Arabidopsis thaliana: one gene and its partners. The protein of the gene in region 3 interacts with the protein of the main gene of each other region in a pairwise test. Each region holds a gene or a part of one and is shown on either strand. Other genes may lie near its edges. The genes, in order: AT2G24040, SUT2 and PTR4.

The links.
Region 1: the proteins of PTR4 (region 3) and AT2G24040 interact in a protein complementation assay, tested with the Arabidopsis thaliana proteins (one large-scale study listed by BioGRID).
Region 2: the proteins of PTR4 (region 3) and SUT2 interact in a protein complementation assay, tested with the Arabidopsis thaliana proteins (one large-scale study listed by BioGRID).

The regions. Positions count from the first base shown.
Region 1 is NC_003071.7:10,219,314-10,228,972, forward strand, and holds AT2G24040 (Low temperature and salt responsive protein family), read left to right. Parts: upstream 1-4,543; 5' UTR 4,544-4,714; coding exon 4,715-4,804; intron 4,805-5,080; coding exon 5,081-5,218; 3' UTR 5,219-5,434; coding exon of another isoform or gene 5,435-5,500; 3' UTR 5,501-5,858; downstream 5,859-9,659. Other genes in the region: AT2G24030 (zinc ion binding / nucleic acid binding protein), read right to left, coding at 870-1,571, 1,681-1,815, 1,905-2,320, 2,583-2,697; eIFiso4G2 (MIF4G domain-containing protein / MA3 domain-containing protein), read right to left, coding at 6,187-7,209, 7,301-7,894, 7,972-8,059, 8,153-8,250, 8,332-8,463, 8,551-8,652, 8,730-8,789, 8,997-9,143.
Region 2 is NC_003071.7:825,147-837,887, forward strand, and holds SUT2 (sucrose transporter 2), read right to left. Parts: upstream 7,474-12,741; 5' UTR 7,151-7,473; coding exon 6,884-7,150; intron 6,376-6,883; coding exon 6,310-6,375; intron 6,163-6,309; coding exon 6,064-6,162; intron 5,963-6,063; coding exon 5,898-5,962; intron 5,805-5,897; coding exon 5,720-5,804; intron 5,628-5,719; coding exon 5,594-5,627; intron 5,485-5,593; coding exon 5,385-5,484; intron 5,280-5,384; coding exon 5,204-5,279; intron 4,921-5,203; coding exon 4,582-4,920; intron 4,454-4,581; coding exon 4,310-4,453; intron 4,213-4,309; coding exon 3,979-4,212; intron 3,888-3,978; coding exon 3,824-3,887; intron 3,728-3,823; coding exon 3,684-3,727; intron 3,568-3,683; coding exon 3,400-3,567; 3' UTR 3,133-3,399; downstream 1-3,132. Other genes in the region: ARPN (plantacyanin), read right to left, coding at 1,484-1,683, 2,385-2,574. UniProt on the Arabidopsis thaliana protein: Responsible for the transport of sucrose into the cell, with the concomitant uptake of protons (symport system). Can also transport maltose at a lesser rate. May also transport biotin.
Region 3 is NC_003071.7:474,556-485,003, reverse strand, and holds PTR4 (Major facilitator superfamily protein), read right to left. Parts: upstream 6,028-10,448; 5' UTR 5,888-6,027; coding exon 5,831-5,887; intron 5,757-5,830; coding exon 5,654-5,756; intron 5,553-5,653; coding exon 5,335-5,552; intron 5,256-5,334; coding exon 4,769-5,255; intron 4,675-4,768; coding exon of another isoform or gene 4,646-4,674; coding exon 3,873-4,645; 3' UTR 3,819-3,872; downstream 1-3,818. Other genes in the region: AT2G02030 (F-box family protein), read right to left, coding at 1,175-2,108, 2,599-2,669; AT2G02026 (uncharacterized protein), read right to left, coding at 2,918-3,097; AT2G02023 (uncharacterized protein), read left to right, coding at 3,226-3,537; GAD4 (glutamate decarboxylase 4), read left to right, coding at 8,353-8,594, 8,781-9,186, 9,287-9,501, 9,588-9,841, 9,944-9,996, 10,162-10,448.

The DNA of each region.
Region 1 (9,659 bases), 9.7 Mb from region 3:
AATTCGAGAAGATAAAACCGGAAGCTAATTTTTTCCGGGCAACTTGTTCGTAGCTTCTGTGTTTGTTGAAGCTTTTAACCAATGATTTTGCGCCACGTCACTTTAACTCTTTTTTTGAGCTTAGATTGTTTTTGTACCATTCTTTTCTAGTGAAGAAGTCGCAACTTTAAAGTTTATACACTTTCAGTACGAAATTGAGTGATCAAACGTAAAATGTTCTTACATCAGATATTGATTCGATTTTCGAAAAATTCAATTTCTAGTATAGATGAAACTTTATCAGAGATTGTAACATGCTTCATTAAACCAAAAAAAAAAAAAAACATGCTACAATAGAACCATCTTTCGTGGTTCTATGTATGGGACATGGTCATATGTGTTGTGGTCTTGTGGAGCTGTATTGCGAGAAGAACTATTGATTGATTGTGGAGTTGTCTATATACCCTCTATGTATAGAGAGACTCACCCCAAACATTTGAAATACCTCTAGGCAAACCATTTTGGGCCTCTCCTGAAAGAAGACATTTATCATCGTATCATGTCCAAACAAACATACTCTGCTTGTACAGTTGTAAGTTTGTAAAACATATGATAAAAGCATAAGACAACACACACTCCAAAATGCAATCATGATCTATACACTTATTCTGGTCTCTCTAATGGCATTGGTTATTATTCTCATGATTCTCAATCTCACAACAAAAAAAACATCATGCAAATCTCCTACTGTCACATTGCATAAGAAAAAATAAAAATAAATTCATGAATTCAATCTCTGATTCCTCATGGTATATTGTCATGACCTAACAAAGGTTTTTTTGGTAAAAAAAGTTGATATAAAATAATCTAACAAAGTTACAAAGAATCTTCTATGACTTCTCCAAGCAATGAACCTTACCTTGTGTATCATCCATTGCTAGAGATACTGATTCTTTCTGTCCTGGATCAGCATTCAGAGATCTCACTGGGACTGTAATGAGTTTATTCTGCTGTTTCTCAAGCAAAGCCATGTGTTTTTTCCCAAGCGTATGATTCCTCATCGTCTGCTCAGAATTCGTCTGAATATTACAAGTTTTGCACCAAACCGTTTCCTTCTTTTTCTTCTCACCTTTTGTCTTCTTTCCCGTTGTTTCTTTCGCCGCAATTTCATCTACTTTTTGACCCTGCGGATTAGCATTTTCACATACTCTAATGGCTTCTGGTTGCGGTGCTGTAACGGAAGCAGGGGATAAGGAGGTTGAAGCAGCTTCAGGTGTCTCATTCTGTTGTGTAACAGCAGCCTTATGCTTTTTACCTAACTCATGATCCCTCATGACTATTTGACAATAGGTCCCAACTTTACAAATCTCACACCAAAACTTCTGGTTAGTTCTTAGCTTACCTTCTGCTTTCTTTCCACTGCCAAGTTTCCCTGAACAAGGAACCTTCGAAGAGACTATTTCTCCGGTTTCCAAAGACATCGCCTTTGCTTCTGATTCTTTTGCTTTCGGCCTTTTCACTTGAAGATCTTCGTTCAAACCAGTTTGAATATCCTCTGCTTTACGCTTTTCTCCTACAGGATCAGCTCTAGCCTGCAATAGTAATCAAAGAGAACACATATGGTCAGGATTTGTTATAAGCAAGTAAGGAAAGTACGTGGATAGAAAAGATGAGATATCACACTCGTAGTAAAACACTTACCAATACAATAAACTGCTCTTTGTTAGACTCCAAAACTGATGTTCCTGTAGCCTCAGGCATTTGCTGAAGTTTAGGCAATTGCATGGTACCAACACTGTCTGCTTTAGGCTTAGCTCCTATAATATCAGCTCTATTCTGCAATAGAGAAATCAAAGAGAACACATATGAAACAAAGGCTTATATATACTCTATCATTTATGTTTACCATTACTTAAAGAACTCACCAATACAATCAAATTCTCTTTATTAGACTCCAACATTGATGTTCCGGTAGCTTCAGACATTTGCTGAAGTTGAGGCAATTGCATCATTGGTGATGTAAGTAGACTGTTGTAAGAGCCTGTGTTGATCAGAGAATCAATGTAACTATACTTCTGTCTGAAAAAGTTGTTGAACTGATTCTGATTTTGATTTGGAAGCTTCCTTTGATTGATCCACATAGTTAGCTTTTCCTCTAGAGACATCTCCGTGTCTGAAACTCGTCGTATCGCCATTTCTCTCTCGATAGCCATCTCTTGTAAAACCTCAGCTATAAGCTCTCGTTTTCTCGCTGCTTCTGCGATAATGATCTCTTGACGGATTTGTTCTTTCTCAATTTCTCGTTTGATCGCTTCCCGAACTTGATCCTCACTTTGTTGTCCTACGAAAAAGGTTCATAATCACTTCACATTTCGACATGAGAAGATTCATAAACTTCAGATTTTTCACACAGATTTCAATTTCGTGAAATCAAAACATGAAAAAACAAACACTCAAAATTTACGTTACAGAAACTAAACAGGTCTCAACAAATCAACTCCTATAGACAATCGCATCACCAAACAAAATACGAAAAGTGCAGAATCATAACAATGTTCTCTGTCGGGGATGGATAAAAAATACGATGCACAGACAGTACAAACCTGGCATTGATCGTTCCGACAAGAAAGGAAAGTTCGGTTTCAGCGACGGAGATGGTGTCGTGTCCGTCGCAGGAGGTGGGCGATTATTATCGATGGCTCTGTATCTGAATTCCATCGAATTCAAAATTTGGAGAGAGAGCGGAGAAAGAGGGTTATCGTTTGTAATCGCTTTTACCTTCTGGTCGGTCACTTTTCTTAAATAACAGGGATAGCTTTTTTTTTTCTGTTTTTTCCCTTTTTTCTTTCACTGTTGTGAATCTTGTGATAATATCAAGAGATTTTTTAAAAACAATATGGAATTTAATCATATGCAATACTTAGCAAATTTGGTTACTAATTTATTAGAGATTTGACCTGTGATAAGATTTAAATATATTTCTATTTTCCTTAAAAACTTGTTTTATTGAAAATTTTAAATTACATTATGTGATCAATCTTTGACGGATTTTTCTATATAAAATTACAAATTTATTAGGGATTTGATTTGTGTAGTGGCGTTTCAAACAAAAATTTAAAATAAATGTATTTTAGATTAAAAAAATTATGTTAAAGGGAGTTTTAATATTTTAAGAGATTACAATTATTACATTATATGCGTGTTCAATTTTTGGCGGATTTCTCTATGTAAAGTTACTAATTTACTAGGGATTTGGTTTATGTGGAACCAAAAACAAGTTTTAAATTTTAGTCAATGTATTGTAGATGGTAATTATGCTAATATTTTTTTTAATCTTTCAAGGGCTTTAATCAAATTCAAAAACTTTGTTCAATCTTTATCTTTTTGTAACTTTGTAGAGGTTTGACCCGCATTATTCAAATTCAAACAGATTCTTAAAACAAAATCTTACAAAAATTCTATACTTTGAAACATTCAACCAAATTTTAAAATCGTGTTCAACTTTCGATTTGTCTATATAAGATTACTAACTTACTAGGGATTTGACTTGTGAAGTGAGAATTTCAAACGATTTTTAAAATTTAGGTTAATGTATTTTAGGTGGTTGAACAATTATCTTTAATTTATGGAGATGATTTTCTGCCTACCAATATATCACCGATTAAAATTCTCACATATGATTACTATTAAGCTAAGCGGCAAAATCATTGGCGTCCCGAAAAAAGTAGTATTCTCTCTGTTTCATAAGTTTGGTATTGTAGGTTTTTTACACAAATTAAAAAAGGTATTTTTTATACTTTTTGATTATTATTTTGTCTTGTTTAATAATATTAATTCTATTTCTCTGTTTTCTCTATTAATCACAGCTAAAAGTAATAATAATGTTATACAAACCATCAATTTTTTGTGAAAAAAAACCTACAACATCAAACTTCATGCAACAGAAGAAATATATAATAAGTTCTAGCGATTAGTTCAAGCCGCTTAACTCGCATCATAACAATGACATATTTTCATTTTAAACTCAGTTAATAATGATTGGAGTGTCCTATATTCTTTAAAAAGTGTAGTATGTCTTTTCATATTCGAACAACTAGGGTGTTATTCGTTTTATTATTTGAATGGTGCATCTCGATTATGCATCCAAATATTGTAATCTAGAGGATGCTTCCGGCTGTTGTTTGTTTATATATTTGGTTCTTCATATGGATTCCCTATCTTGATGTAACTTTGTTTGTTTTTCTTTTGTATTTGTTAATTTACATTCACATCGATGTATTTAATATCAAAATGACTAAATTGTGCATGTGTTAAATTTAATGATATCTTAATAATCTTAACTGTATTTACAACTAAAAAAATTTCAAATTTTTCTTGGCACAATTATAATCCAAGATAATGCAATGTAGCTCATCTAGTAATATCATTTATCAGCTGGAATGAGATTAAATAATGAAAGAGTATGGTAAGTGAAGCCATACCAAAGCTCCCGTGAGTCAACCAATAAACAGACGTCATACGTCAATACCCAAAAAGATATCAACAACGAACCGTAGGATATAATAAATCCCGCAAAATAAACGGTTAAAGATCTCGCGGTACACTCTGTATCTTAATTATTAAGATTCACGTCGCTGGACACAACACCTACTATATTTGTGGTTGTTTGTTTCGTGAAGCTTCTCTCTTCTTCTCTTTTTCAAGTCATCAAATCTGATCTAATCTCCGTAAATTAATGGCGAGTAGTTGCGAGCTTTGCTGCGAGATCTTCATCGCAATTCTTCTTCCTCCTGTCGGAGTTTGTCTCAGGCATGGCTGTTGCACTGTAAGTTTCATCTCTCTCTATCGATCTCTGAACTTTCACAGCTTCTTATTTCAGAAATCGAAACCGTAGTTGAAATTGAATTGATTACGGTTATTTAAATTGAAATTGGTTGCACTCCGGTTTACGGGAACCAATCAATATGATGAATGTGGAGATCAATTACTGAAAATATAATTGTGGTGTTTTTGTTAAAAAGAAACACTAATTAAGGGACTAAAAAATAAAATTTTTAAATTTTGTTTTTCCTAACTCATGTTTTTTTGGTTTAACTTGTAGGTTGAGTTCTTCATTTGTTTGATACTGACTTGCTTAGGCTACTTACCAGGAATAATATACGCAATTTACGCAATTTGTTTCTTGCACCGCGATGAGTATTTTGATGAATACAGACGCCCAATCTACTATGTTGCTTGACCTCTTGATTGATTCTTGCTCTTGAGCACACATATTGTACTTTAAAGTGTAATTTACTTGTATCCTGGAGATAATAATACCATTTTTTTTTAAGACACAGGTATTGTGGTTTATTTTACTATATACTTTGATGAATGATGAATGCATAATGCCCAATTACTATTTGCCTATGGAGCCCTCATATTAAAGGTCAGTATCTATCGCGCTATGATACAGCTAAAGAAATTAGCTCAGCAGTCACTGAAGTGGAAGAGGAAAAAGAAAACACTGTTTTTTCTCTGAACAGTGAAGAAGACAAAGACACTTGGTGAAGAAACAGAGACTGACAGTGATTCTGAATTCAAGATGACTAAGACGACAATACCAAAAACAGGAAGAAAAGTTTAAAACCATTGTTAGCTATTGCATCACTTGAAGACTTCACACTTCTTTTCTCTTCTTTCCTGTTTTGCTTTGCTAAGTTGTTTCCAGGAAAGAAGAAAGAAGAAGTTGTGGAGTCTTTTGATGAAGATAGTGACAGTGATTACTATATTTACCCTAGTCCATTCGATATTGAAGAGAATTCCAACAGTGAGGAATACAATCAAATCTTCATTGTTATATGTTACCCTAGTCCTAATACATACTATATTTATATAATGGTAGTACCATACTTACCATTACCCTGAGTGAGTTTCAACGATGATTGAAATTGAATTAAGGCATCCCACAATTAATTAGATTATTAATGTCAAAGACAAAAATTGTGTAGGCACTAAGAATAAGATAACAATCAACAAATTGTGTTTTTTTTTCTCCTCACCCTGAAATGTTCAAAACTCAAGATGAACGAAAAAAACAAAGATGTAACAAAACTGAACCAAATCTTCCAAGTATGTGATATTAACTCAAAACTTATATAAGAAAAATGATTCAGACTACTCCTCAAGTAAACATTTTAAGACTTTGCCGGCCAAACCAATTTACTTTTAGAGCAAACTCTGGCATGCCTCAACTTCAACCGCCTGCGAATCCAATACAGACTGTCCCGATGGACACTCGCGAACACTCTTTATCACTGCATTGAGTACGGTTTTTCTGAACCACTCATCTTCCATCTTCTTCAGAACATCTCTCACCAGCTCGAAATCCAAGACTTTAGCTGAGACCAACTCCCCTAAGAACTCTCCGAAGCTGTTTGGTGCTTTTGGCAGATCGATTCCAATGTCATCCAACATGGAACCGTAGAGCAAACAACCTGCCCCTAAGTCTTTAGATGTCAGCACATTCTTAGAGATCAGATGTTTCAAGAGTTTGGCAATTGGTTCAACCAATGGTGGGTTTTTCTCTAGACCGAGCGAGATTGTTTCCTTGACGAGCTCCGGGTGGTAAGATGGAGATTTTAGTTCCTCAACGCATTGCAATGCCTCATCCACTAAACGAATACTGAAATACTCTTCAAGAAGCGACTTGGTTTTTCTCTCGAGCTCTCCTGCGTTCAGGCTATTAGCCAGAGGAGCTGCCTGTGGCTGTGGCTGAGGTTGAGACCGTGGTTGCGGCTTCTCAACAGTTGGAATGGGTTTAGAGGCTTGAGGAGCTGAGCTAGAACCGTTACCTTGCAAAAGAGGGCTTGGCCTACCACCACCATTGAGGAGACCTCCGCTACCCTGAGGAAGAAGCCTTGAGTTGACTGAGAGTGACTTGTTGATAGCAGGAGGTGGCTGAAAACGCGGCTGCTGCACTGTTTGTCTATTGCCTCTGGGCATGGACCGGGTCCGTGCCATTTCCCAGCCGTCTTCATCCATAGGCATCACCCTAGTTCCCGGCATGCCGGGCATCATTCCTCCAGTACCAGGACGGCCAAGGATATTTCCCAAGCCCATACCGTCTGCTGCACCAGAAACCGCAGCGCGGTTGTTGTTGTTGTTTCTCATACTTGCCATTGCACCCGGACGCATCCCAAGATTTCTCTCTGCCTCAGAATGGATTTCATTGATTTTCTTCGCTTTCACCTGCCATTGAATAAGTACAACAACACGTAAGCACGGATAAAGAACTAAAGACTGTTATTAAAAGATTTGAGATGGAATGATAAAATCTTACCTCCTCACGCCTTGGTACCCATTTATTAGCTCGAAGATCAACAACGTTTTGGACCATAAATCTGAGACGCAGCTCTAGCTGAGGGTGCCTTGCTAGCTCCTTCAACCGACCAAAGTACGTGTCATTAATACCTCGAGATCGTGGGCTGTCATCAAGTTGCTTCCCAATGGTTATAAAAAATTGGCAGAGAGCTTCAACATCTCCCTCTGCTGGGCAAGCTTTAGTATCGTCTCCTAAAAGCTCCTGAACAATATGATGAACTATCTTCTCAGGCACCATCTTTTGCTTGAGAAGTTCACCAATCAGACGGATATTTCCAAGTGTCCGGAGCTTTGCCATTTTCTCCTTATCCATTCTTTCCATTTCTTGGTCTGGATTAGTCATCTGTCTGATCTCTTCCTTCAATTTGCCAGCACCTTCAAATGCCTCTTGGCAATTATTCAAAAGCACTCTTTTAAAGGTTATTTCTTTCCCACCGGGTTCCTCAGAGGGAAACGAAGGTAGCTGTCCGTTAATATCAAAACACAGAAGAGCATACATCTCGCAGAATGTGGGCTGCAGTATAGCATTCTCAAAAATTAGCTGTATCACTTCCTGCAATCAAAGGTAAGAGCAAATCAATACCATGAAAGAGAGAACTACAACAATAGAGATCAGGAATTGAAACAAACCTTTAGGATATCTGCGGAAGTGATGCCAGCGTCAATCAATTGACCTTTAAGAAGCTCGTACTTCTCCGGAGTAAGCTTGTTTAGAATACTGCATAAAATTGTAAAGAATCAGTCAGAATATACATCACATCAACCTTCAAACACAAAAGCTGAAAAGAATAGTATTAGTTGTTGACAATACCCTTTCACGCTCTTAACGACTCGATCTTTATCTGAAAGAGCTCCTCTTTTAGCTGACCACGGAACCTCCGCTTTAATCAGCACAGGGGTAGGACCAGACTGTTTCACAAGATGATCATGTTAGCAAGAAGAGAAAACTAGTAATGATATGCCAACACATAACAAGTGACGAAAACTTACCCCTTGCCATGTACTTTTGGCTTCACGAGGGTCGTCCCTTAACCATTCTTTACCAGAGGTTGGAATCTGAGAACGACTATGCCAGTCACGGTTATCAGTCTCGGTATGACGATGCTGAGTATGATTTGTTATCTAATAAGACCAAAACCAAGAATGAAAGTTTAAAAGACAGATTCCAAAACAGGAGGATTACACACACACACACAGACACACACTTACTTTACTCTCGGCTGCATGATTCCCCCAACTCTGCTCTTCGCCAAAAAGCTCAACTGCGATTTCCTTACAGCGTCTAAGAATTTCATCAGAGACTTGAACAGACTGCGATCAAGAAAACACAAAGGTGAATGATTTGGTTCACAAAGTCAAAAACAGAATCAGAGAATTAAGTTAAATACCTCTCTGTGCTGAAGTATCTCTTCTCGGGAAAACCTCACACGTTCACCAGAATTTTCTCTCTACAAAAACATAAAATGTCAAGAGCTTAGGATTCAATTACATAACATAAAGTATCAATCTTTGTCCATATTCAAATTCAACAACCCTAAAAATTCAAACTTTGTACAAAATTCGATTCAAAATCATGGAAACGAATCCAATCCTCGTTTAAACTCGAATTGCGAAACCAAATTGAAGAGAAACAGAGGATTTTTCAATGTATTTACCTTGACGGGAAAAGGGGTTTCTTCGGAGCCGCCATTGGTAAGATCAAAAGAGGAAGAGGAGCTAAAGCGAGGGACGAAAAGCCTGCTTTTGCCGCCGCCACCGCCGGGTCTCAAACTCAAAACCGATGGTTCACCTTGTTGTTGCATTACTCGATTCTCTTGTTTTTTCGCAATTAGAAGGATTCAATAAAAAAAAGTTTTGCAGATAGATAGAGGTATATAGTGTATATATATGTGTCTGTATTGACGGTGGAGAAGATAAAATCACTTCGATTCCCTTTTTTTTTTTGGCTGAAGCTGTGTTCTGTGGTTTGCCCTAATTTCCTTTTCTTCTTCTCACGTGTAAATGTTATTGTTAATTACGAAAATATTCTGTATATCAAAATAATTTTATTTATTGAAAAAGAATTGATGGAAAAATCTTACGAAATAAAGACTTAATATTGTTTTTAATGCATCATTATCAAAATACAAGTCTACTTTCACAGAATTAATTACCAAAGTATCCTCTGTCTATAATCTCCAACACAAAATAATTAATTTTTGGGAAAAATAATTGATGGAAAATCTTATGAAATGAAGACATAATTATTTTGTATTTATTGCATCACTATAAAAATAAAAATCTTTGTTGCATCATTAAAAGTGTTGTTGGCATGGCTC
Region 2 (12,741 bases), 350 kb from region 3:
GGCAAACGAATTTGTTTCGGAAACCTGGGTTTGGCCGACTGTGGACGTCTATCGTGACGCTCCAATTTCGTCTATCTTTATATAACGGGATAGAGATGTTACAAGGTGGTATGACAAAACTTTCATTTCGAACAAATAAATATGTTTTTTTCTTCTAAGAGTAACATTGGATTTTTTTTATTTTTTTTTGAGATTCAGTGTATGAATCTGTAAACATTTTATAGTTCGGATTTATTTGTTACCAATAAATTAATTTGGGTTTTGTTCCGGAAAAAAAAAAGTTGAGGTTTTTTCTATATCTACATATACATTTTTGCAGCCACTTTGTAAAATAAATCCTGGAGTTGGGACTTATTTACAGTGGCTGCCACTGGCATTTAATTAATTGTATTAATTTTTGGTAAGATGTTCTCTGACCAGCTCCATTCGTTCGAAACTTTCAAAGATTTGGGCCATTTGATTTTAATACGTGTTGTGATTTTCATATCACTCTTTTGGGCCAAACGGTACACCGCTATTGGGCTTCAAAATAAAACTTCCCAACGACTAAATTATTTGCGGCTACGAACACATATTTTAAACGAATCAACCCTATTAAATACTAACGTGTATAGCACATTTGTCGAATCCCTTAAAATGTGCAAAATATTCCTTAGCTATTCACTCAAACAAAAAAAGTTATATGTAGATCCCTTAAAATGAGCAAACACACAACAAAAACATTTCTAATCTATTCACTAAATCTTAATTTTCCAAAATTTGAACTAGAGTTTCTGAAATTATTTAAAACAAAATATGCAAAAAAAAATCGGTGGTATCGTAAAATCCCTTAAAATGAGCCTAGATTTTGGCAACTATTTAAAACAAAAATTTGTTTGACAAATCAAAATAAAATTGCAATCTGGTAAAATATTTATTTTAATTATATATTTAAATTAGCGATGTGCCGCAGGTTTTTTTTACGGGACAGTTTTGGCGGGACGGGTTTGGCAGGACGTTACTTAATAACAATTGTAAACTATAAAATAAAAATATTTTATAGATAGATATTATTTACAAACTTTTATATATACTAATTTTAAATAAAAAAAAATTGTCTTCTCGGTGTACCGTGTGTTAAAATCTAGTAAATTTTACATAAATAAAGTTATTTTTTGGGAATTTTCCCCAAAATTAAACTTCCATTTCTGTTTTTTTCATTATTATGGTTGGCAACCTCATTCTTTTTTCTTTATATCATTTTCAGTATATATATTTTTTGAAATATATTTTTATAACTATATTATAATAAATATAATAAGAGGTCCGTTTGAATCTTCCAAACTACAAAACCGACTCTGGTTCTCTAGAGAGACCGCACCGGATACTTTTCAGAAAACATAAGAAAAACAAAAAAAGTTTTGATACGAGTTTTATTGCATACTTCAATAGTTTCTTAAGAACATAACAAGTTATCAAACTATTTTCATTGCTAGATGTTCGATCAAACCGCGGTGACTGCGATTTTCATATCGCTTTCGCAATGGTTTGGAAAATTGCAGATGAAAAAGTTTTGTCCTTTAGACAAAGTTATACGATCTTTGCCTGAAGTGTAAGGTTTTGCCCCTGTCGGTGTTTTGCAGTTGTTGTAACTTCCGCTATCTACCTTCACTACGTTGTGCATCCTCGGATTATAGTTAAACACTGCACCAAAGTTTTGGAAAATATAAAATTTTAAGTTAATCATATAATTTTTTTTTTTTGGTCTAACGTTAAATTAGTTAATCATATAATTGATTACTCGACCACTCTTAATTGATTCCATATATTGACACTCAGATTATAAAGTAGCTGGAACTGTTTAGGAATTTCATAAATCTACATACTATAACGTTGGTTGAGATATTTCTTCATGCGAAAACAATTTTAATTCATCACTCAAGTATACCAAAATAAATTAAAAATTAGGTTAGTGGTACTATTTATGATATTTTAAAATATTTTTTGTTAAATTTAAACGCACATGAATTTTTGCTATACACATAAATCAGCGTTTGTGAATAATCGAAACTAGAAAAAAAATTTTGGAGAAGGAAGATGTATACATACATATCTATAATATAGTAAAATATATCACAGGCTCAATCATGTAAAAGATATACACTATTTAAACTGTGTATGCAAAACATTTATCAATCATATTTGTAACCTTTAAACTATAGGAAGTTTTTTATTTGTCGTGTGCTTTATACAAAAGCACATCTTGCCCATACTTAGAAGCAGCCATGATATGGATACATCCCTAGTGGATATGAAGATTAGAAAGCTTAACTGCTTGTGGTTTAAGTGTAACAAGATAGTATAATAATTACTGAAGCTTGATTAAAAGGATGTGAAGTATATACCAAGAACGTCGCCGGCTCTAAAGTGTTTGCCTTTAGGCCAACCCACAGCGTTAAAGGTCCAGATACCAGAGTCACCGACCGTGTACGTTGCAGCTTGAACGTAGTCAGCTTGAAGCAACAACACTGACACAGCCATGAGAGTCACTATGGCTCGAGCCGACCATGATGCACTGCCTCTTCCCTTGGCCATTGATCGATCTTAGGTGAAAGTTTAGAGAAAGAGAGAGAAACTATAGAGAGTAAATGAGGATGAATTGAAGAGTAAATGTACAAAGGGTTTTTAAAGAAGAAGAAAATAAGACATTCAATGTTTTTATTTTATTAAATTGGGTGTCTCAACAACCCATGATATATGTTCATTTATTATTTTTGGCCACATTGTCTATGTAGAAATTGATTATAGACTTAACTTCGGTTTCTTTTGTCTCATTATTGAAGATAAGAGTTTGGTTTTGACATTGTTACACTAAGTTGAATTTTGTTTCTTTGTTTTGAAAATGCTTATATCAACTAAATAAGGAACTTGTGGACAAAGACTATGTCATCAACAACCCACGATATATGAGCATTTATTATTTATGGACACATTGTTTCTATTGGAGATATAGTTTGGTTATGATTTTAGTACATAGTTTATAGGCGAAAATAGGTTTGAATTTGTGTTCTTATTGAAATGCTTTGTTATATTAGTATGGTAATGTTGGGAAAACGTACACATCATAGGTTAAAGAACCAACAGTATTGTGTTATTAGATTGGACTATTGAGTTTGGAATATGTTGCTTCAAGTTTCTATTTGTGAGGAAAGGAACACACAAATATAAAGTGATTCAAAATAACGAAGATATATTCTACGTGAGAAGAGAGGTACTGTAAATTTAGAGTCACATTGCTGTGTATAACATATAAGAAAACTAGATGTACAAAACCTACTTACATATACGCCGAGAGGAGAACGTGGTCAAAAAGAATCGGGTAGATCTAACTGTGAATTTTATGTCTGTGGTATAAAGATTTTAGCCGATGTGGAAACCGGTGGACTTGAAAGAACTCGATAGCGTGGGAAGCCTTTGCAATGCAATAACTCCAGCAGCGAAAGCAGCAACAGACGCCAAAACAAACGCCGGTAAGTTTCCTCCTCCAAACAATTGATCCCATGGACCCGCTCCAAGTGATACTATCATCTGTTTAGAGCCAAAACCATATTCAGACACTATTTACGGGTCAAGACTACACTCGAAGTGAGTGGCATTATACAAGAGAATGAAATTTATCAGTGTAATTAGATTTGAGAGATTGCCTGGGGAATAACGATTGCGAGATTCAACACTCCTATAGCCAAACCTGGAGTGAGGAAATGAAACCATTAGGGATTACTGAAATCTAAGATTTAAGTACAAAAACTATGAATATAGTGAAGATATGAATCTTTTCACAGACCTTGACCGCCACCGGAATCAGCAGTGACTTCTGCTGTGACAGAGAAAGGGACACTGTATGTGATCTGCATTAAAGAATGGTTTTATCACATATTTTAGAGAAATGTTGCAACACGAAAAGAATAAAGAGAATTACGGTTGAAAGAAAGCACATACAGCTAGGGGAAAACCAAGGAGTGCAAAAACGATTACGGCTGCGGTTCTTGTTGTTTCGTTTCCACGCATTATGTATTCAATTCCATTTTTGTCATCACTGAGAGACATCAAGCTGATTACAGCTGTTCCCGCCATGCAGGCAAATACAGTAAAATTGCTCAAAGCCCATACAACCCGAGCACCCATCCGCTGACACATTGGTTCAATGAGAAATGAGCTGATCCCAAGAACAACCTACGGAAACAGGGAAGAAGAATATTCAATAACGGGCGAGTAATTGAATTTTGAAGAGCAGTGCAGTTAAAAAACAGGTTATTATAACGATTCTTACAGAGTTTAGTAGCAAACCAAGTGCACCTTCACGTACACCTTGATCATAGAGTTCCATATGCAAACTATCTCCTGTTGGATCCCCATGGTAAACTTCTCTTCCCATCCAATCTGTATCGAACAGAAAGAAGGGGAACCAGGATAACTGCAAAGAACAAGACCACAATCAAAAATATAACAGAAGCAAATAATTTTAAAGATCATTAAAGAGTTTAAGAAAAGAAACAGTGTGAAATATGTAATAACTGATCATAATTTTTCTTTGGCACTCACCCATGTAAGAGCCATGACGATAAGAACTGAGTGCATAGCCGGTGGCAAATGCCTTAAACTAGTTAGCAAATTCACTAAAACAGATCCAGGGCCATCAACGTAGGTCTCATCTTGATGCTCATTCTCTGAATTGCCAAACTGTTCATCCGTATCACGTTCCACTCTCTCATACTTGATTCCATTGGCAGTACCATTATTTAATTTTGAATGCTCAAGGCCTTTGGACTGGAGATCATCCAACAAAGGTGCAGAATCTTGTATGCGGGTGGGCTTGTTGCTTGTAAAAGGAATCTCTTTAGCAAAATAGATTGTGACAAGAGTACATATAGTGAGAAAGACCTGAAAAAATGATTTAAACTCTTAAAACATATAGAACAATATATTCAGATTTTAGACTATGAAACAAGAACAAAAGCCACTGGGTGCAATAATATAATTTCACTTTCAAAATCACCTCAAAAATAATATAGACATACAAACAGAACGCATTGATTTGCGACATATATGAATCACAAGTCACAATGTACAAACGTGAGAGTGTTTCGTAAAGACCAGCCCATTCCATTGCAATTTAGAAAGCTTAGTAAGATGCATGTGTCAGAAAATTAAACATACTGCTTACCACTGCAAGAAGAAACGCTGCTTTGAGATTTCCACATGCAGCACAACATGCTCTACTAGTTAAAAAAGGGAACCATCTGCGCAGTAAAATTGCCTGATCATTTAACAGCTGGCGGAAAATGCAAAATTGCAAATGAGGAAAAAGAATACAAGATTTTGAGAATAAGGATCTCAAAGATTACTCTTGCCATTTTCCGCTAGCACCGGCAGAAAACCCAAGGATGTTCCCAATAGCCATCCACAAGCAGAACACAGCATTTGCAGTATTCCGCTGATCAGGACCTAGGGACAGCAAGAGACATCTCATTAGAAGCACAGCATATTCAATCTGATTCTAGAGTTTGAATAGAAATTCTGTTCTGTTAAGTGTATGGTTATATTCCATTATTACCTGATAGATCAGCTAGAAGAGCACGAGCAGGTCCCTGAAAATAAAAAAGCCGAAAACATCATTCCTGGATACAGAGGTAATGACTAGTACCATTCACTCAAGTACATTGCAGAGGCAGATCTGAACCTGTACTGTATTGTTTGCTAGATCCAACAACCAAAACCCAATGATAAAGACAACAGCTGCCCTGGTTCGTGTGCCTTTGAAAGTACTGCATTTCAAGATACACATCAAGTCGTCAGTTACTTTAATTTTGATACATTCCATAAAAAACATGCCATTGGCAGGGGAGCAGGAGAGTTACCTGCAATGTTCCTTTGAATCTCCTAACAGATACCCAATGTCTGCAGAAAATCCGATTATTATCACCTAAATTGCAAGCTTTTGTTTAGCTTATATAAAACACAATGTAGCCAGCTATCTCCTAAAAGAAAATCAAAACAGAAATCATATCTTCTATTGGCACTTACTGCTATTGAGATCATGAATGATCCAACTAGAATAAATGGTCGTCTTCTTCCATACTTTGAAGTACATTTATCACTCCAAATGCCAACAAAAGGCTGGACCTAAAACCCAACAAACAAATAAGTATGAACAAAATGGGGCAGAAAAATAGTTTCTGATCCAATATAAATCAAAACTTGAACTCTCGTGAGATCATTACGTGCAAGATAGTAAAACTGCTAAAATTCTTAAAGAAACTTTTAACCTACCACAAGGCCTGTAATTGGGCCGCACAGCCAAATAAACGAAGAAAAAGCATGCGATATTCCAAGGGTCTGCATCAACCAACCAAATGCAACACTGTTAGATAAAACTCAAAAGGGTTCTTCAGCAACAAGAAAATCAAAATACTTCCAGCAAACAGATATTTAACAATAGTTCTATCTACCACCATAACTACCCACCTGATACATATATGACCAGTACAATACTATTCTAAACACAGTCTAATCTCTGATTATACAATAGTTCCGAAAAAGGCTAAGGTCTTTTATATTTTTACAAATGCTTATGTAATCCAATGAACATAAACAATCTAGCTAAATTCCAATGTCATATACTCTTCGATAAGCCAATGCTATAGAGTTCCATACGAAAATATCTCATGGCTATGTTGGTGACAACAACTACCTAACCTAAGTATTAGAATTCATTGATTCACCTACAAAGTACTCGACTTTCTCGTACAAAGCTACACAAGAACAAAACCCTCGAATCTAAATTGCTATAGAGAAAGCCACAAGTGATAGAAATGGTAACAATGACAAGAGTAATAGTAAGTACCTGAATATAAGGAGTAAGAAGAGAAAGTTGCAATGCCCAACCAAATTGAACTCCAGCGGCAACTGTACAACTAAGAACCAACGTCACTAAACTACAATTCTTCGACACAGATTCACCATCAGCCGAATCAGAATGATTCGAAGGAGAAGCAGATTCAGAGAACGACGAAGAACCAGATTCGTTTTGACGATGCTTGGTGACCGTCTCAAGTTCAATTTCCTTCCTCAAATTCCTATACGGAACCGAGATCGACACCGAGTCACTCATCGTCCTCAACACACAGATCCCTAATTCGTATCAAAATCAATTTCTCATTCCGATTTAGATTTCTAGGGTTTTGATCTCGTCGATCTAGATTCGGAGACGATGATCGGAGAGTCAAATTCGGGCGGGTGAATATTTTGATGAAATCGATTTTTTTGAGGTGATTGAGAGAGAAGACGCGGAAGTGAAGAAGGAAGGAAGATTCGTTTTACAGGGAACCGTTGATTTGTAGATTAACGGATGAGATTAAAACCTAACTTAATAGTCAACGTTTTCGTCTCGGGCTTTGTGTAATCAGCACCGTTGGATTTGATCGGATCAAAACCGTTGCTTCAATTTAAAGGAAGAGCGGACGAAACTCACCGTCACCGACACCAAACAAAAAGTGTGTGCTTTTAAAAAAGTAAAACGGTGTCGTTTGATAAGAGTTGAGAGTGGGCCTGTAGTTTTTTGTAGCTCGGCCCATTTTTGTAAGAAATTCACAACTGTGGTACATTTAGCCCAAATATTAAGTCTATTAGAAGAAAGCTGTCTCATTTTTTGTTAGCATACACACCTAAAACCTATAAAACATGTGTCAAGATTATATGATTCATAGCTATGTCCCTTCTTCTATTTTCTGATGCCTTACACTGCGAACACTGTGATTAGTGATTACATTGGTTCAAGTTTGACTTCATGAAATATGTTTGGTTCAAGTTTGCTTCTAATGCTACCATTCAAATCCAAACTCTCACAATTGCATATTATTAAAGAAAAAAGGATAAGACGTCTCAAAGAAATTTTTTTATATAAAATCATATAGGGTATGTTCTTATTAACGTATATATGAACATGTGTTACTAATTTAAAAACAAAATCATTTTGTAAATTTGTGTTTTACAACAAATATTTTGTGGGAGATTTTAGGTGCTAGCAATAATAAGTAATGTTAATTAAGAGAGTTATAAACATTTTTTCACTATTTAATAGTGTTTTTTTCTTCTTACCAATGTCACTATTTACAAGTATATGTATTTTCTAATAACTAATGTAAACATGTTTGTAAAAAGATTATATAACATATATGTGTGTGATTGTGAAGGTGATAGAGTTCTTCTTACCAATGTCACTATTACAAGTATATGTATTTTCTAATAACTAATGTAAACATGTTTGTAAAAAGATGATATAACATATATGTGTGTTAACGTGATAGAGCCGGATTAAACGAATAAAAGGAAGAAAGTTAGAAATAAAAAGGAGGAAAAAGGAAAAAGACGTGTGCCTAACAAATGTATCATGTATTGGTACAAAAATGCAAAGATGATACATAATTATTAATATTATTCTTGCTTGTGGAAAATGAAAGCTAATAGGGCACACAATTGAATTAATACTTACGTCTCTCTTTCTCCATCTCTTCCCTTGTCCCTCTCTTCTCCTTTCCTTATCCACGTGTACATGACTCTTATGTCCCATCTTTTTTTTCTTTTTCTTATCATCAAAAGTTCAAAAACAAATCCTTTTGAGTTTAGTTGTTATGGTGTGCATGCATGTATGATGTATCCGAACCAAAGTATAGTCGAAAATCCAAATTTTGTATTCTTTAATGGTTAATGGTTAATTGAGAAGTTATAGCCGAGTCTCATACACTTGTTGTCCATCAAAACTGATACCATTCTCAATAGTATTTGAACCAGAAAACCACTATTACTCACTTTTGTAAAAGAACTATACATACGCGCCGTTAGACCAAATATCACTTATTACAAAACAAATTTTTTATCTATACCATGTTATAATTTTACATAAGAAAAAATAAAATAAAAAATCGGATTATTCCATTCAAAAAAGCATTTACATAAAATTCAAGCCTATATAGGCAATTTGGTAGCATTGACTCGGTTTCTCCACAAAAAAATGAACCTTATTACACCTTTGGTTTTATCTTATTTGAGATTGATGATTTGATCATGTGCCAATTTTTATTTTTATTTTGTTATAAAAAAGATCAAGGTTAATAAGTTGATTGAAAAACAGTAATAAGTTTTTTTAGTTTAATCATGTAATTACATTTGACAAAAAGCACGTGTTGAACGCGGCTATGACCCAAATAAAAGAGAAAAAAACATATGTACCATAACTTAACACGTCATCTCCTTAACGTCGAGCACGTCAAATGCTTACGCCTGAAAATAACTCCTTCGTCATTTCTCAAACGACAAATTCAAATATTAATAATATAAAAACTATATGTTTAAAAAAAAAAAAAGAGATGCGTTATTACAATAAATTTAATTTTCTAACTTAGTGATTGGTTGGCAATTTTGTCGTTCTCTGTCGATAGATCATAATTTATAATGTGATATTTACATATATACATAAGAATGGGGCTTACACTGTTTCACATAATAACTCCATTAAAGTTGATAAAGAAAAATTATAATGGTCATTAATCATTATTGAGAATGTAACCATCGATATTGAAAGATAGAAATGTGGAAAGAACGTGAAGAAATAAAAAAGAATCACGTCACGTGGAGACAGCTCTTTTACGAACTCTTATATCCACTCACTTCATTAAATCATTTAAAAAGTGGACTATTTTTTAAAAAAGCAACAATGGTTTGTGCATATATTTGTAATGGTTTTTTTTCTAAAATCTTTGTGTCATTTAATTGTCCCAACAAAACCAATACATCATCTTGCTTTTTTTTGGGTCCGATTTGTGCATATATAGAGTGTTCATATAGAACGGAGTATATGCGAAACCTTAACTCGACTAATTAAGTTCGGAAGCTACGTCCAATTATAACAAAGTTGAGTCAAAAATGCATCATCCCCTGAACATCGTCTCGTTGACCGGACATCGAGACTATGTGCTATCGCAAACAACATGTGATCAAATTCAAGAGACATATTAATAGATGACAATACGTTTTTAGGTTAATGGTAGATGAAACATTAGCTTTGTTTTTTGAAATATATGAAGAAAAAAAGAGTACTATAGTTGTTTATGGTTCTCGACATCATGCCTTTGTTTTTGTCGAACAATTGTTTCGTGAATGTCATGGGATAATACGGTTTCGTGTAAGTTATAACGAACGAGACATTAGGAAGATAATATTGACTAGCTACAGTAAATAAAGTTAGATTGGTTTAAAAGATGGATCTTGGATTAGTCGTAAAATCACTTTAGCATGCACCGTCCAATAATACTTCCCATGGGACATATAAGACTTACTCTCACACAACCCACACGTGCCTGTTACGTTCTTGATTGGATAAGAATGGCCTCGTTCGATGGTCAAAGCCTATAGTGGCACGATATGTAATCAAATTGTGTCGATCCTTTAATTTTTACTTTATAAGATCATATCAATAACAAAAATTAAACATTAGATTTGATCATGGCAAATTTCATTGGTGCATAAATTTCGCAAAGGGAAATTGACCTGATCAGTAGTTCTGCAGTTATACACAAATGCTATTAACCAGTAATGGCACTTGTTGAAATAGTAATAATAAACGTACTTAACATGTAAAAACATCATAATAGTGACATGATAATGTATAGACAGCCTCACGTGCATAGTCACATGTTTCATGGCCCTAGATTACTCGTCGCCAGCTTTCTCGTATTCTTACTTGTTCCAGTGAACCTGATCTAACAAATATTCTCTTTCCCGTACAATTCGTTGAAAATATATACAGTATAAAAAACAGTTAATCGATCGTTAACGGAACCACATAATGTTAAACGTATTGCTAAGCCAACAATTAAACGTTTAAAAAATGTTTAGCGCTAAGCCAACAATTAGAGGATAATTTATTTTGGTTACCCGCGTTATATACTTTATAAATGTGTATTTATTTGATGTAAAACTTAGGTATATGATGTTAAATGTACTTTAAGTAAATAAGTCTCTCCTCAAAAAATTAACAAATAATACTCACATATAATAAATTTTACATGAAAATAGTTGTATATGTATTAATCGATTGGCTAGACAAACACATTTGTTATTTTCAGGTAATCTACAATTTTGATTGCCTTCAGTCATAGAAAATACCATCTTATCAAAAATAGTATCACATTAAATTAGCAATCTCAGCTAATTACTCTTCAGGTTTTTTTTTGGAGAAGATGGTTAGAAAACAGAAGGTTAAAAACAGTAAAAATTAGTGATAAAAGATGACAGTATGATACTATAATGAGGTTAAAAATTATATATAACTGGTAACATTTTGACAGTTTGAATAATAAAGTGATAGAAATATAAAAAACAAATATAAATATAAGCAAAAAGTAATTAAAATATCAAATTCCCCCTTTTTTTTTCTTTCTTCTAACCACCTGTTCTGGTAGTTTTCTCTAATCATGTCATTTAATTGTTCCATTAATTGATAATTTTTAAGACACGACCATCAACAGTTAAAATTACAAATTAAATTCATATAACAACTTGAAAATAAATAGATGTTTTTTTTGTATATCTACAATATGATCATTAAAAATGGTCTTAGAACTAAAAAAAATCGGTAAACTGCTAAACACGACTACAATACTTAACCAAATTGTAAATCACTATGATTGATAAAAAAAAAAAAAAAGTAAAACAACACTAACATTACTGTACTATTTTTATAAAACAACACTAACACTGATTCGTGAAAGAACAACAACAAGTACTTGGTTTGGTTATAATCACTGACATTTTCTATATATTATCATTTATTATGATTTTGTCTATTTGTTTCAAAATACAATGTACTTTCATAATATAGAGGTGTTAATAAAAAAAGAAAAAGAAATGAAAATTTAATGACGTGGGATTTTGTAAACAACTTTTTCAGTAAGTAATTAAATTCCTTTTGACCACTGAAATTTAACAGCTGAAGTACTCTGAAACATCTGTGCATTCAACTCTGAAAAGTAGATTGTTTCTTTTTCCTGATTTCCTCACGCTCATAAAAGAAAAAAATACTATATATTTCTAGTTAATTTTCCATAAAATATCAATTATCCAGAATATAAAATATCCTTATCAGTAGCAAAAATTGGAAAAATATTTATATTGTTTTAGAAAATTGGACCAAAACATCTCTAAAGGAGATTAGGCCTTTCTACTAGCTAAACAATGGTTTAGGTCTCCAGATTTATTTAGAAAGACATTAAATGTGAATTAAAAACCAAATCTAACTCTTTTTTTGGTTCTTTAACCAAAAAATAAAAACTCTTTTTTTTTTACAGCTAACCAAAGCAAATCTAATTTATTGGAAAAATACCCAAAATTAATATACTTTTTTTTTTTTGCGTTAGTTGATATAGTTTTGGTTCTCTAATTAGTAATTCTTAATTTTCAACTTTATAATTGGTGAATGAAAAAAAGAAATTAAATATTATTATTATTATTTTTAATTTTTAATTTTAATATTATTATTTAGTCAAATTGATTTTCCGTTTAAATTTTTTTATTTGACTGCATTAAAATTTGCATATTAAAATTAAAAAGTTAACAAAAGAGGAATAAACAAGAGAGAGAGAGAGAAAAAAAGAATTGTTCCTCTCAAAAGATTTTAACTTTGAGCTCTCTGAGAAACCAAAGCTT
Region 3 (10,448 bases):
TAATTAATTCTTTTTTTTGTGCAAAATTTACAATAATTAATTAATATATGATTTCATGTCTCTTTCTTCTTACTCACACGTGATTTCACTTCATATCTCTTAACCAAAATATACAATAATTTTTTTTGTTTGATTAAAAAAAAAACCATAAATGTCGTATGTGGTATAGGTAGTTTCACTTGATGGACTCATAATCAGTTGAAATAGTTAGTCTTAGATCAAATATAATTCAGGTTTAAACACACACAAAAAAATCAAATATAATATTTCTATACTCTATCTATGATTATCTATGATGAAAAAAGAAGAAAGATTATTCATGGCTCAAATTTTAAGTCAAAAAGCCTCAAAACTAAGAACAAATCTCTAATTGGAATTGTGTAATTTATTATGTTGTAAATATATCCTAAAGCCAAAACAGAGGGCCATAAATTTCAGTTTGCAACACAAAGGCCCAAACATTTTGAAAGTACACACAAGAGCCTCCATGGCATTAACCCAATGCCAGATAAGAGAGATCAAGCCTTTTTGTGAGTGTATCTCACAAGAGCCTCCATGGCATTAACACCTAATTTGGTGTGTTATGGTTGGAGTTGCTCTTGGTACTAGCATTCGCCTTTACACTGAGTGGTGTGACGACAATATTGTCAAAATTTTATGCTCCGTTAACTCTACATACTGTTTGATTTGGTATGACAAAGTTTTTACTTTAAAAGGAGTTAATAGTAGTGAGTGTTTCTTTGGTTTCTTTCTTTCAGAATCCTACCGAGCATTGTGTTAACGGAGTTAGTATATATATTAAGTCATACAATTTGATTTTCATTCAAGTTATTGGATAAAGACCATATAATATAATGGCCAGTTTTTAATTTTTGTCTAGAAAAGAGCTACAAACTTTGCTAAAATTTCAGTGGCAAGTGACAAAAGTTGGAAAATAAGGACATACTAAGCCGTAGTAACCAGAAAAATACAAATGGCAAACTGAAGAGTTTGGATCAAGATCGAGAGCAACGAGATTATCTTGACAGCGAAGTGAGAGAATGACTTTATTGGTGTCCCTGGAGATGGTTAAAGGTGTGAGAGGCTGCTTGGTGATACCACCAAACCAAGTGGAAGTAGAAACCAAATCAACCGAGAAGATCCTCTCCCATGTGTTGTTATCTTCAACTCTCCATCAAAACTCTTGCTTGCAATCTTTCTTCAACTCTGAAATACAGAGACGACCATCAAGATTGCATAAACCAATCTTGTCACCAGAGGCATCACGGGTAATAAAAGGCGGTGTTTGGATGACTTGAAACATCTCTGTGTGTAAATCTAAAACTATGAGTTTGGTTTGTGTTGTTGCATATCCTTCCTCATCTCCCGTGAGCCAGTAGAGTGATCCGTTTGCAAACACCGGCCTCTGATCGCACAAGATCTGATGATGATCAAGAGAAGTAGTATTCACGAACCTCCATTTTTTTCCATCTAAATCCAAAACCTCGCACGTAGGAGGAGTAGCAGGAGAAGTATTATACATCCATACTAGTTTATAACTTCCACTAACGCTGTCTTTCCCAACTCCAATCTGAGAACATGTCATGACTGGGTCTAGAACAGGATTTGGATCTTGAACTGGCTCCAGCTCCACCTCCGGGTTTGGCTTGTATATACAAAGCTGTTGGATTCTCGATAGAGGGAGTTCTATGAACATTGTTGTGGCCGGATTCATTACTTCCACTGCTCTTGTAGTGTCGTAGAAGCAGACAAGGCCATCACAGCTCTCGGAAATATCGAGAAACCCCTTATATCCTTCGAATTCGAAAGCTTGTTCATCTCCCTCAGAAACTGACGTCTTCTCCAAGGCAACTGTTTTTAAAAACAGAGTGTCCTCTGCACGATCTACAAAATCATCACAAACAAAAAGGAGTTTGCATCCTTTGCTTTTCTCAAGAGCCATGTGTCTTTTTCCGAAATACTTCGACGTGATCAGAGTTCTCCAGTGTTTTGACACAGTTTGAAATCTCGTGAGCGATTTCACCGGCAGCCTCACCAAGATTTCTTCGACGATTTCGTTAGGTATATGGATCTTCTCAAACTCTTTTCTTCTTCGTTTGATTTCTTTTCTTGCGGACAAAGAAACTTATTTGATCGTAAGGAGTTTCTCCATCGATTTCTTCTGACTCTTGTGAAATTCAATGTGCGCTGAATTTATAAGTTCTGTTTCCATATTTTCTTTGTAACCGTCATAAAGAGTGGCTGGAATCAACGTGAATTATGATGTATATATCTATATAGTTTAATGTTTCTTTGTTATTTTTTTATTTGAGAATTGTTTTCCGTTATTATCCATGGCTCAAAGCCTCAAACTTTTAAGATTAAAATAACTACAAAATTGTTAGAACAAATCTCTAATTGGAATAATGTAATTCATTTACATAGTAAATAATACTAAGATTTGCCTAGATTAACTCAAATCTTAGATTGACGTAAATAACTTCTGAATCCAAGAACTATAATAATTCAAAATTTAACTAAATTCCCCTAAAATAAAATAAAAACAAATTTGTGAGTGATTATTTTGGCGATTATCGTCTTTCTCTCTCTTCTCCTTACGTTGGTGTCGGTTCATGTTTTTCGCCGGATATCTCATCTTGTTGGCCGCGAGAACTGGTTTTGCCACTCATTACACCATTGGTTGGGTTGTCCAAAATCTGTCGTGACGAAACTGACCAAACAGTCTCCCGGCTCAATTCATTATGGGACCTATGGCAAAACCCAAAATAAAATAAAATTTCTTAGTAAATTTTTTTTTTTGAAATATTGGGGCCTTTTAGTCTTAACAATTTTTTTGAAATTAGTTAGTAACCCTAGGCATTTGCCTACCTTGCCACCCCCAGAGACGGGCCTGTCTCGAACAAATCACGATCCGTCGTCAAGCAAGATTAACATAACTTGTTGTGACCATCATCACCATGAAGAAGCAGATCTTGTCGCAAACATCATGGGCACCATCACCAACGTATGTTGCATCAAACATACGACCAGTGCGTTGTTCTCTTCTCTCTTGGTGCGGTTTAATCATTTCATAGTAACTGCCATGTCTCTCTTTCATAAAATTTTCTTATGGTTTCCATTACAATGGAGCCGATTTCTTTGCCTCCTTCTCTTCATGGGAACGGTAAATTTCTATTTCGATGCCGGTGTGGAGAAGTTGTTCGACGGATCCGCTAAGCATCTTTTATGTCTGTGATGGGAACATCCCATTGCGATGTCAATTTGGCAATACATTGCCAATCTTCGATTGACTCTGGTGCGCTTCCTAGTGAACCGTTGCAAGAGGTTTTAGCCGAAGATCAAATGAGGCTCGTAGCGACTCTTCCTCACAACTGGTGCTTCGGTCGACGAATATGGGTTCCGGGAATATTATGTCTTCGAAGATTTGACAAATTGGCGCAAGAGAAAATGAAAACTAATGGATTGAATCCGTTAGTGAGTCTTGTAAAAGGAAAATCCATAGTCATTAACCGGTGCAGAGCGTTTCAAAAAGCATGATTCAGAACCATTTCGAGCAACTTACCAAATTCTTCGTTTTATTAAAGTAATGCAGAAAGCATTTAGGAGTTTCATCTATAAGATGTTAGCTTTTTGCGAGTGTATGATGAGAGGACTTAACAGATTTATTTTGTTGCCTGTAAGGCTTCCGTTTCGAAAGCAGGGTCACTTACACTTCTTCATCAAAATTGTGTTCAATTTCCTTTATTTGTTTCAATAGTTATATTTGAATGGTTGTTGTATGTATCATGTAAACCGTTATGATTTAATATAACTGATTTGCTGGTTTAAAAAAAAACAATTTTGAAAGTACACACAAGAGCCAGAAGAAGAGATCAAACCTTCATATGAGTATATTTCACAGAGAAGAAGACAAAAACAGGTATGTTAACAGATCCAAGACTGACCAAAAGCCAGAAGAAGTAATCAAGATGTCCATTGTTAATGTTGTCTGAAGGAATCCAACAATCTTTTCCGCTCAAATACGCCACAAGGGTAATGATCAACGAGCTCAAGTAGTTTCCTAGTGTAGTAGTGAGAAGAGCCCAAGCACTACACAAGCTTCTCATTGAATCTGGAGATTGCTCATAGAAAAACTCAATCCTCCCAACAAAGAAGAAAACTCCAGCAGTGCCCATTAAAAAGTACTGAGGGATTTGCCAAAAGATGTTTAATGGAACAATGTCTCCACTTTCCACTAGATCAAGATCTCTAGCTAACTGTAACCGAACCGTCTCAACGATAGCTGCAAATGTCAAGCTCAAAACAGAGACAAAAAGACCAATCCCCATTCTTTGTAGCTCGGTGAATCCTTTAGCTAAGCCTGTGAACCGTCTCACTAAGGGAACGATGACGCGGTCATAGATTGGGACAGATATGAGAACACTTGCAGTGTCGAACATCCCGAGAGTTGCGGGAGGGATTTCGAATAAGCCGATGGTTCGTTTCATGCACCGTCCTTGTTGAACAAAGAGAGTGTAAATCTGTGAATGGAGAACTGAGAAGATGATTCCTGAGGCCCAAATGGGGACCAAACGTAACAGAATCTTAACTTCTTCGACTTGAGTCACGGTACATAGCTTCCACGGGTTAGTGTTTGCATCTCCTTCTGATATAATTGCCGCTTTGTCAAGAAACCTGTACATTGATATCACAACCCGTTTATTTAACCGTTAATAGACTAATGCTCAATTCAAACAAGAAATGAGAGGGAAAAAGATTTTCTTGTAACCGTCCGTGGAGTCTTCAGGGACCTTGAGATTCGATTTACGGTATGCGGCTACAAGAACTTGGCAGACGCTAGTAATCGGGCTACCTCTCGGTTTCTGAAATCTATAAAGCGGCGTGCCAAAGAAGAAACTCATAGTAGCAAGTCCCATGAACACGGTAGGTATCAAGAATCCTAATTCCCATCCATAATTCTCTTGAATCCAAACTAGAACAGTAGATGAAACAAAAGCACCAATGTTGATAGTGAAGTAAAACCAGTTAAAGAAAGAAGCTTTTCTGACTCGTTCGCTTGGATCGGTCTTATCAAACTGATCAGCACCAAAGGATGAGACACATGGTTTGATTCCTCCAGTGCCAAGAGCGATAAGGTAAAGCCCTGAAAATAAAACCGTAGACTGAACCATTGTTGCTGGTGGACATAGAGAGCCAATGCATTCCGCTGGCTTAAGACCCGGAACTGAAGCTGAGAGTGTCAATGCAACCATTCCCTTAAAACAACATCAAAGAACAGAACATCAAGCCAAGAACAGAACATAAAGCAAAGTTATTTTTCAAGAAAATGCTTACGGTGAAATAAATGGCAGAGAAACAAGCAATAGTCCAATATCTTCCCCAGTAAGCATCAGCTATTAAAGCTCCAATAAGAGGAGTGATGTAACATGTTCCTTGCCATGTCATGACGTGTCTAGCAGCAGAAACATTAGTCTCATGCAATTCATTTGTGAAGTACGTGATGAGATTCTTGGCAATTCCATAATAAGCCAACCGTTCGCAGCATTCGTTTGCTGCACCAACCAAAGCATAGATATCAGTTTTTGGAGATTAAAGACAGAACATGAGAGAATACAACAAGTACATTACAAGTGAAATAAAACAAAGTGTTTACCAAAAATGAATGGACAAGCTTTCCAGTTTCCTGTTGTCTGCTTCAATGGTGGGTTTCCATGAATATCTATTGAACCATCTTCAGCATATAATTTTACTTCTTCCTGGAGAAAAACGAATTAGTCAACAAAGATTTAGACCCCAAAACACTAAAGAAACAATGACAATGAGGTTGAACCTGTATAAGAGATTCTTCAACTTCAAGAAGTGACCTTTCTTCATCAATGGAAGCCATTTTTTACTTTCTCCTCAACATGACAATTTTCACGTAAAGCTGATTTAAGCTTCTCAACGAAGGATCAAATAAAATGATCCTCCCACTGACCAAGTTGTTGTTGGTGGTGTGAGTGGTCACTCACCACAGAACCACATTCTTTAAAAAATGTTATAAAAAAAAAGAGGGAATATAAAACCACACAAACTTTATTAATCTGATTAGACTTAAGCATTAAGCAAATTTTGAGCCATAGCACACTTTTCCCCTAACACAACAAAAGTTATCAAACAAGTTAGAGACTTCAAGTTTTAAAGAAGACATCAAACAAATCTTACGAAACCTTTCTAGCCAAACCGGTAAATTAACAAAGCCAAGACAGACCAAAAGCCAAAAATAGTAATCAAGATGACCGTTACTAAGGTTCATTGTCGTGAAATATGCAACAAGTGTAAGAATCAATGAGCCGAGTGAAGAGTCCAAGCACTACACAAATTTTGCATCTAGAGATTGTTCATAGAAAAAATCAAGCCGACTAAGAAAGAACAAAACGCTAGATGTTCCCAATAAAGATATATTGAGGGATATGCCAAAAAATGCTCATTGGAACAGTGTTACCACTATCAACCAGATCGTTGGATTACTCTTGTCTCTCTCGAAGTCGAGAAGTTGGTGGCGGTGACCACTGGACCATAAAATGTGTTCTTGTTAACAACACGTTTTAAGAAATTGCAAAATTGAGTGGACCTATTGGGCTTTAAATATTAGTGGGTTTCCTAATTTGTACTTGTTGGGCCAATTTTATGACCTCCACAACTTGGATATAAAATATTTGGTAAGGAATTAAGTAAATAAATACTATTTTATTTTTTGAAGCACCAAATGCAATTTATGGTGTTAATAAAGTTTTATGATAATAATTAATTAATGCAAAATAAAAATAGTTTTGGGGTAAATTGATTTTTTTTTTTTGGGAGACCAACAGTCTTCAACCTCAAAAACGAGAAGCTCTAGTAAATCATGATCGTTTTGTAATTTATTGGTTTACCAATTGATTTTAGTGATATAGTTTTCGAACCGCTTAAATGATTAATAAATAAATAAATTAAATTATGGATTGGTGATTTTGTCTCTAAATAAAAATGTTGAATATGAAAGGAATAGTTTTGAATTGTCCTTAATAATTTAACGTTGAACTATTGAATAGTCAATAATTCGGTCGCTAATAGTTGACTAGTACAAACAAAACCGAACAGAGCATGTATTAATTGGCCATTTCAAAATTCGTGTTGCAATAATTAAGGAAAGTCAGAACTTTAGAGAAGTAAACCGGTGGCGGTTACCCATAATTGCCGGTTCGGCGAGTGGCGTCTCGGTCTCCATTTGCCGGTTCCCATTGACTAACGCGTTAGAGAGTGACTGATGGGTCGACTTTTGACTTTTACTATTTTTCTTCTTTTGTTTCTTACTGCCAGTTATGCCCCATTCCCTGCCTCTTAATTACGTATGAGTGCCACTCACAAATATTTTTATTTCTGAAAATCATTTGGGGGAGACAAAAAAAAACAAGATATAACAAACCTGTTGTTTTACTTTTGTTACTGACAAGTCCTTCAGTCAAAAAATAAAAACAAGATAGATAAAGAAAATGAAAACTGTATTTAATAATATCCTGAATAGTCAAAATAGAATTGTCTATAAAATCTGATTTTTTAAAAAATATAAACATATATGATGAAGTATTCTTGTTTCATGTATCCATTCGAAAATATAAGTAAATCCTATGTACAATTGAAAAAAAAAAAAAAAAGGTAATCTAGAAACAATGCTGATCAAGCTGTAGTATTCAACGTAATTAACCCAAGCTAGGGCTAGTGGATTCTAGTTTTCAACAAAATTAACCCAAGCTAGGGCTATTCTAAAGCTAGTCTAAACATGTGGGAGGTTTGATAAATCGCCTAACTTTATTTGTTTAATTAGGTCAGACCATGGGTTTGATGTTTATTTGAATTTTTATACTTTAGAGATGGTAATATGAGATCTTACAACAAAAAGTCAATGTCCTTTAGTGGTGATACCAATATAAGTTCGAATTTGGTTTCTAGCTTATTGGTATAAATTCCATTGACAGCAAAAAGGAATCACGAAAACAATATAATCTAGTACTATATTCACATTTTACGCGTAACGCGTTTGTAATATTCACATAATTATGTAAGTGTGAAATTGATCAAATCGCGGGAGATGCTAAATAAACAAAATCAAAATCACTAATAAAATGTTCACGATAACTTAGAAAGATCCAATAAAAAGATGACGGTCGGAATTTGTATACGATAGTAATAAAAGTATTCGTGTTTCTAAAAGTTAGTAATTCATTGGTCTAAATATTATAATGAGGAAAAGTCATTGGTAAGGAAAAGGTTTGAAAAAGGAGCACATAAATAAGGACCAGCGATGCTTCCTTTCACGATGCAAAACACGAAATGAAGAGACACATTCTCTCTACTATATATACCATTTGCTCCTCTTCCTCTAATTCCACACATTCTTCTTCAACTACAAAACAAAAACACTACTACACATTCTTTCCTCTTGTTCATTTCAAACCCAAAAATCAAAGTTCGAAGTTGAAAGAAGACATGGTTTTGTCTAAGACAGTTTCCGAATCTGATGTCTCAATCCATTCAACTTTTGCTTCTCGTTACGTCCGCAACTCTCTTCCACGGTAACAACTTGTAACACAAATCTTTTGTCTAATGTTTTCGTCAACAATAGTAACATGTAATGATGTAAACCTTGGATAGTTTTTTTTTTGGCCGTGGTTAATGTTGTAGATTTATTATGTGTTATATACTATAAGGAAGGACATGTTTCGTTATTTTAACTTAATGTATCATCATTTCATCATTAGATTCGAAATGCCTGAGAACTCAATCCCAAAAGAAGCAGCTTACCAAATCATCAACGACGAGCTAATGCTCGATGGTAACCCAAGGCTGAACCTAGCTTCCTTCGTGACCACATGGATGGAGCCAGAATGTGACAAGCTCATGATGGAGTCCATCAACAAGAACTACGTCGACATGGACGAGTACCCTGTCACCACTGAGCTTCAGAACCGATGTGTTAACATGATAGCACGTCTCTTCAACGCGCCGCTTGGTGACGGTGAAGCTGCCGTTGGTGTTGGCACCGTCGGATCGTCGGAGGCGATTATGTTGGCCGGTTTGGCTTTTAAGAGACAATGGCAGAATAAGCGTAAGGCCCAAGGGCTTCCTTATGATAAGCCCAATATCGTAACCGGTGCTAATGTCCAGGTAAACCAAAACAAAAATTGATGAAATATTAACCAAGACAAAATTGAATTTATCAATCCGGTTAAGTTATATGTGTGACTCAATTTCCGGTTCAATACAGGTTTGCTGGGAGAAATTCGCAAGGTATTTCGAAGTGGAGCTTAAGGAAGTGAACCTAAGAGAAGACTATTACGTGATGGACCCTGTAAAGGCGGTCGAAATGGTAGACGAAAACACAATTTGTGTCGCTGCCATCCTCGGTTCAACGTTAACCGGTGAATTCGAAGACGTTAAGCTCCTCAACGACCTCCTTGTCGAGAAAAACAAGCAAACCGGGTAATTAAACCAAACCGAGAAACAAGCTAATATCGATTGTAATCGGTTTGGAGTCCGGTTTTAACGTTCTAAAACACAATTTGCAGATGGGACACGCCAATACACGTGGACGCAGCGAGTGGTGGGTTTATTGCTCCGTTCTTGTATCCGGAGCTGGAGTGGGATTTCCGGCTACCGTTGGTTAAGAGTATTAATGTGAGTGGTCACAAATACGGTTTGGTTTACGCCGGTATTGGTTGGGTTGTATGGAGAACCAAAACCGATTTGCCTGATGAACTTATCTTCCATATCAATTATCTTGGCGCTGATCAACCAACCTTTACACTCAACTTCTCCAAAGGTACATTACCATAAGTCCATAACATATATAACTTTCAATAATATTTTTGGTGTATGGAATTGTTTTATAGACTAAACATTTGATAATGCTTGTATAAACCAGGTTCAAGTCAAGTGATTGCTCAGTACTACCAGCTGATTCGTCTTGGATTCGAGGTAAATAATAACTCAAAATAGCAATATATTTACCAAATGGTCAATAAAGAAACTAGAATGTATTATATTTAAGTTGTTACTTGTTACTATACTTTGAATTAAACGTTCCTAACATGACTAGTTTTGGTATTGTGTAATTAATAATGTTTTTCTTGTTTGATTTAGGGTTATCGCAATGTGATGGATAATTGTCGGGAAAACATGATGGTACTAAGACAAGGATTAGAGAAAACGGGACGTTTTAAAATCGTCTCCAAAGAAAACGGTGTTCCGTTAGTGGCGTTTTCTCTCAAAGATAGTAGCCGCCACAACGAGTTCGAGGTGGCCCATACACTCCGTCGCTTCGGCTGGATCGTTCCGGCCTACACGATGCCTGCGGATGCGCAGCATGTCACTGTCCTTCGAGTTGTTATCCGAGAAGATTTCTCTCGAACCTTAGCCGAGAGATTGGT